Linked DNA regions of Mus musculus: region 2 is reported to be linked to region 1. The links are microRNA targets in miRTarBase. Many come from high-throughput screens and were not tested one by one. Region 1 holds a microRNA gene; the other region holds the end of a gene's coding sequence.

Region 1 (3,144 bases):
AGGTAACTGGCCCATTTGGGTCTGGTGTACCTTCAATCTCTCTTTTTTTATTTTCTTAAAAGAAACATTTGAGAGCTGAGCATCTAAGATGGCTTTGGATTCACACCCACTGTCTGTGGAACAGCTTGAGGCTGACAAGATTAGCTCGCTGGAACGCTCTGGGATCCGTTCAGCCTAAGCTGCTGCCCACACACCAGCCTTGCTCACAGAAGCTGCTTTCCGCAAGCAGCAGCCCGCTTCACCTCCTCCATCCTGGCTCGTGGAACTGGTCCTTGATGTCCTACCTGGTCTTGAGGACAGTGGCTTCCAGCCTCAACCAGTCCTCATTCCCAGATTCCAGGATGTGACCATGGTGATGTCTCAGCCTCTCCAGAGGAGTCCGAAGGGTGATACTTCTGTCCTTCCTCCTCCCATGTCTAATCACCTGATTTTACAGAACCCAGCATAGCGAGCAGTGCTGCAAGCTTCCTTCCCCTCCCTCGGCTCTCTTCTTCTGTCCCTTCTTTCTGTAATATCCAAGGGGACCAGACAGAGTGGGCCTTGATAACACACATTCCCTTGGCTCCAGAGCAGTAGCTTCTAAAACCTGTAAATAAGACAGCTCTATGCCCCTGTGTAGACATACACCCCAAGGATAGGCTGGCTCCCTGGTACCTGTCCAGAGTTGAGAGTTCAAAAGACAGACCAGTGGATAGAAATGCTATCATGCCCACCCACCCCCACCCCGCCAAGCAAGGCCTGCTGGCTCATGTACCTGGCCAGACATTACATGAGCAACGGGCAGTAATTGTTGTCTAATCTCTTCCCAGAGGTTTCAACTAGTTCCAAACTGTTGTGGCTAATAAAAACAGAGAAGATTTGCAAGAAATTCCAGGTGCATCGGAACACTTTGGGGGATTGTGCAGCCTGCAGGCAGACGAAACTTAACTCAAATAAACATAAGGTAATATGTGTTGGCAAAAGTAACCTGAAGTGGGAGTATACAACTGTACGTTTCAAATTGGCTGCTGCCTGTAAGGATGGAGATTGGTAGTAGCTCAGAATGGATGAAGTGGGCAGAGTAGCCAATGTGCATCCCAGAATAACCGAGGCAAATCAGATCTCATCTCACACAGACCCCATCAGTGGCCCAAGATGGAGCACATGACAGATTCCGCAGTCCCACTTTCTACTTTAAGGATGAGGAGACATCGTGGAGTGGCCTCCAGATTTAGGGGTCTCCTGTGAGCCAGGAATGTGTGGTCATGTTCTCAATGGAGCGAGTAAAAGAAAGTGTCTGTTTTTGTTCATTGAAGTCATTGACTCCAAGCCCTGGAAGCTGCCATGTTACCTCCATCTGCTGCCTAACTCTCAGGGCCACATTTAGATAAAGAGCCGAACTTCTGAACTGCAACAGCCCTGGACTTCAGTCAATTCCCTACTTTCTTACAGAAAAGAAAATATTGAAAAGCTGTATTATGGTGTCTTATATGAATGTGCTAGTTTCCAGGATGGGAGGGGCTGTATATTCACCTATATTCACACACATATACATGTGTGCATGTGATATACATTCATGTACACCCTCCTATAGAAATAAGTGTATGTGTGTGTGTGCATGCATATGTGTATATGTGTATGTATGTGTGTGCATATACACATGGGTGTGCATGTGCATGAGTGCATGTACGTGTATATGCATGTTCTCTATTGATATGTGTGTGTGTGTGTGTGTGTGTGTGTGTGTGTGTGCAGGTGTGTATATACATATATATGTGTGTGTGTGTGTGTGTGTGTACATGTACATGTGAGTATGTGTGTGTATATGTTTGTACATGTGCATGTGTGTGAGTATGTGAATATATGTGTATATGTGTGCATGTGCATGTGTGTGTATGGTGAGTAGGTGTTACTAATTGTGACTCCGATGGCTGTGTCTCCATCTGGCCTAGGTGACAGGTAAGCAACTGCACTGATCTTTCACAGGTAGCAGCAGCCTTATAGGGCAGGAGAAGACTGGCACCTCTGCACTGGCCGTGACCTTACCTGCAAGCCCCCGAGGAACAGGAGCTTTTTTACTCCTCCATCTTCTGGCTTCCCAAGCAGGTGCTGATATCTTGACAGGGAAGGGGAAATGCTCTGTCCTGGCCCTCTTGCCTCACAGAACTAAAAGCTAAACATGGCTTCAACTACCTCAGCGGCTTTCTTCTCCCACAACCACATGCAGTAGAGAGGCCCAGCGCTGCAGAATACATCTGTGATAGGAGAGGAGAGCTTGGATCTGGAATGTTCTAGAAAGTGATGGAATAATTTGAAATCCAAACTGTCTAAAGGCTGAAGAAGAAAGGAAGCCATTGCCACCTGCAGGAAGCAGCCAGGTCCTTTTGACCTCTCAAAGTTCTTGGCTGTGAGGTTCCATCATTCAGCTGATAAAACAGAGGAACAAATGTTACACAGGGAAGTTCACAGGAAAAGGGTCAGTACAGAGTGTGCAGAGCTTCTGGTGGTATAAAAGCCAGTCACTGAAAACTAGGGACATGTCCTCAGTCCTTGAGACCTGAAGTCATCTCTTCTCTTCTAAGCATCCATTATACCCAGGATTCCACAGCCCTAGGCCTTCTGGAAACAAACTTCATTTCCCCAAAAATTGTCTGCTACCCTAATGCCACCGGAACAAGTTTTTTAGCTCTTGGGTTATAGCTCAATGATGAAACACTTGCCCAGCATATACAAGACCCCAGATTCCACCTCCAACAACAACACAAAGCACGCCAGTACATCTCAGCCTGTGCAGAGGCTCAAATTTCGAAGGAAATAGGAAATAGATTCATTCATTCATTTAGTGACTCTTTCTCTTCTGCTGTGTATGAGACGCTGTGTTAGGCAACACCAGAAATAAGGTAAAGATTTAGCAGGTGACCACAAACGAGAAAGTGCAGTGCGTTCTCCACTTTAATCAGAGCAAGCCAGCAAATAAAATGTTCTAGGCAGTTTGTCTTGGCACCAGCCACAGGAATTTACCTGTGACATCCTAATAAAGAGGACACTGAGACATGACATCCACAAGGACTTGATTGGCTCTCCTGGAGCTGATTGTGCACACCAACCCCCAGGAAATAAGGCCAGGAGGTCTGTGGTGAAGCCTGAGTGTCCACGGTCCAACTG
Region 2 (3,144 bases), not on the chromosome of region 1:
GATTTTTAAGTGTATTCCTATATATTTTAAATGTTGCTGTATTTAGTGTGTCTTGTGAACATCAATAAGAAATAACATTTACAGGAAAAGAACAGCAGATTTCTTGTTTTGAGTTTCGACTTGAGCGAAGCTGAAGAAAATGCCAAAATAATATGCAAATATTAATCTGCCATATGTGGAGCTTCTAGCAATTTTTTTCCTCGGGAGCTGTCATCAGGATTCTGCCTCTCTTATTATTTTGGGTGTTTGTTTGTTTGTATATATATATATATATATACATATATATATATATGTATATATAATCTGTTCTGTATTTCATTATAGTGGGACTTTTCCCAGTGGACCGTACCTTCTCATCATCATTTCTTTATTTGTAGGAAATTTTGACTGGGTAGGGAATGACTTTACCCAGAACGCTGGCACGGGCCTTGTCATCAACCAGGCAGATGTGAGAGACAACAGGAGCATCATTAAGCAACTGAAGGACGTGTTTGAGAGGGACTGGTATTCGCCTTATGCCAAATCCATACAGCCCACCAAACAACCGAACTGTTCAAGCCTGTCCAAACTCAAGTCTCCCTCCAAGCAACCTGCCATGGCCAATGCCACCGGGAGGGAGCCGCTGAGCGTATAGCTCACTAACAGACACACAAGGCTTCAGACCAAATGCAGGAAGGACTAGAGGAAAGACAACAATTTACTACATCTTTTCTTTTATTAAGGAGAAATAAAAAGCACACTTATTTAAAATGTTCTCTGAATGACATGTAATATCTAGCTAACAACATCTTAGCACTGTATATTAAATTTAAGACTTTTGTATCTATGAGCTCTGACAGAGAATGTTGTTCTGGCCTAGGAGTTAGTTTTTAATGACTGCAAACACATTTTACGACTTGGTTCTTGTCTCCTGATTCTTACTGGTTTTAGAATCTTTTCTGCTGACCCATCAGCACTGGTTTTAAGAAGAATAACATGAGGTGAGCCCTTTCCTTTAATATTGCTGAATTCTGGAATTAGAGGAAGGGGGGAGAAGATGCAGACAGAACCAAGCATCTGCCCTGACATATCCTCTCTAAGACCTATCCAGGCAGCTGAGCACAGGCACCTCCATTTCATGCCAGCCTTCAAGACTTCTGAAAAACACTCATTTCTGTCCCCTTGTTCCTTGTCTTCTGATACCAGGGTTTTGAGGGTATCAGTCTGTCTTCTGACAAACATGTTCTTGTTTTACATCATCCTTGGATTCATCTCAGCATTAGTTCAAAAAGTGAGAATGTCTTGGGGAAATGATATGAATTCCCCAGAATGTATACAGAATGGAAATCAGTCTTTCACTTTCTCCTTTCAATTACATTTTTTAAACACACACACACACACACACACACACACACACACACACACACACATATCCTTTCCTCAAGCTCCAAAAAAAAAAAAAAGAAAGAAAAAAAAAAGAAATGAAGTGCCCCTGCTAATACCCAGCAAGCCATTAAGTCTGCATTTGAAGAATAAAGCAGTTTCACATTTCTGTTTGGTTAACAGTATTATAAAGGAAAGGTCTATGCGTCGGTGGATTTTAATTTATTTAGAATTATTATGCTGTTAAGAGTATGCCAGCAAATGTTTATAATAGAGCTATTTAATATACCTTCTGCTATTTAATATACCAAATGCTTTTCAGACAAATGCAATTTAAATACTGTGCTTAACATATTTTACTAAGAAACAGAAATATTGGATTACTGTTCTATAATGTCATTGTGTGTTGTTTTATATCTATATAATATATAATCCTGTATTAAAAAAGACTGTTGGTACATGAGAGGGGTGTGACCTCTTCAGGGCCAGAGGAAGTGGTCAAGATGCCTATGCCCAGTGTGGCTCCTGACTCTGTGCTCAGAACAGAGCCCTTCCCTCTTTGGCCCCGGTTTTCTATTGTTAATGTAGACAATAATCCTCACCTACCTCGCAAGGATGCTGTCATGGTAGGCGATATTTATAAGTTGTTTTTGAAATCAAAAGAACCTATATAAATGCTAAGCATTAACATTGCATAATCTTTTTCTTGAAATAATCTCTGTGGTATCCTGGTAGCACCAATACCAGGCACTCTCCCGAAGAATCCAGAGGGCAAAATAAAGCACTTTCTGTTTGCAAACACAGGTGATATGAATGGGGGCCAGGGGTGGAGAAGGTTGGTCAGAGTGACCATCTGAATGGTAGGTATTTGAATGGAACATGCAGCCTGGTCACGGTGACATAAATAATAACACATAACTAGATGCTGCGCTGCAAATGGTCCATTAGCACCAGTGTGTGCCTGTGTTTTTAGAACAAGGATGAGCAATCTCATTTGATCTTGAGAGACTTGGTTTTAATGATGCCAAAAAGAGTTCCCTACTCAAAGGTTCACTGACACAGAAGGCTGTTCACAGTCCTACTGATCACCCATGTTCTTTTCCTGCCAAAGACACCTGTCACCTCACTGGGTGTTTAAAACCAGTCAAGAGAGCTGGGACAGTATCCAGGCATGGCGATGCATGCCATTAATATCAGCTCACTGGGGGGTGGGGGTGGGGCAGAGGCAGGAAGATCTTTGTAGGTTAGAGGCTACATAGAAAGTTCTAGGACAGCCAAGGCTACATAGAGAGAGACCCTGTTTCAGAAAAACAAACAAAAATTAATGGAAAGAAAAAGAGAGAAAGACAGAGATTAAGAGAGGGACAGGGACACAGCATCCGATGAGAAAGCTATGATTAAAGGGTATCGAGTTTTATGGGCTGATTTAAAGACTCTCAGTGATACTTTTCATTAATAATGGTCAGCCTACAAGACTCTTAAGTATTTACCATATACTCCATCCTTGAATTGGGTGTCATCCTGGCAGCTGTCTGAAAATAGCTTTGGGAATAATTTTCCAAGGAAGGAAGGAGGCAATGGTTCAAGGTGGAGACATACTAGCTTGTTCACTCTTGGACAGACAAAGGGAACCTTGGTTGATTCAAAGGGAAACTTCAAAGGTTGTCTCCCTTTGGGCTCCCTCCATTGTCACCCAGATTCCTTGTCAATAGTCTCATGAGACAAACAAAGGTTTGGGGGCATGGGCCCTCTCCCTGTTGCTGCCTTGGGTATTGTGCAATA

Evidence for each region. The annotated mature microRNA mmu-miR-466k reads UGUGUGUGUACAUGUACAUGUGA and lies in region 1 at 1,768-1,790, shown strand. An mRNA with a match to its seed (bases 2 to 7 or 8) in the 3' UTR can be bound and repressed. Matches are read on the target gene's strand: a 7mer-m8 pairs with bases 2 to 8, a 7mer-A1 pairs with bases 2 to 7 and ends in A, and an 8mer does both.
Region 2: the mRNA of Pld5 is a reported target of mmu-miR-466k. Seed matches in the 3' UTR shown: 7mer-A1 at 646-652, 7mer-A1 at 1,365-1,371, 8mer at 1,366-1,373, 8mer at 1,368-1,375, 8mer at 1,370-1,377, 8mer at 1,372-1,379 and 15 more.

What each region holds. Positions count from the first base shown.
Region 1 is chr3:85,465,629-85,468,772 of GRCm38, forward strand. Mir466k (microRNA 466k) reads left to right here and starts at 1,749; the gene lies at 1,749-1,870. All of the region lies in intron 1 of Gm31419 (a long non-coding RNA gene), which reads right to left.
Region 2 is chr1:175,961,318-175,964,461 of GRCm38, reverse strand. It overlaps Pld5 (phospholipase D family, member 5), which reads left to right. Exons shown (of 10, transcript NM_176916.4): 10 at 378-2,156. The coding sequence ends at 634. Among named protein-coding and RNA genes, the nearest start is that of Becn2, 43 kb to the right of the region's middle.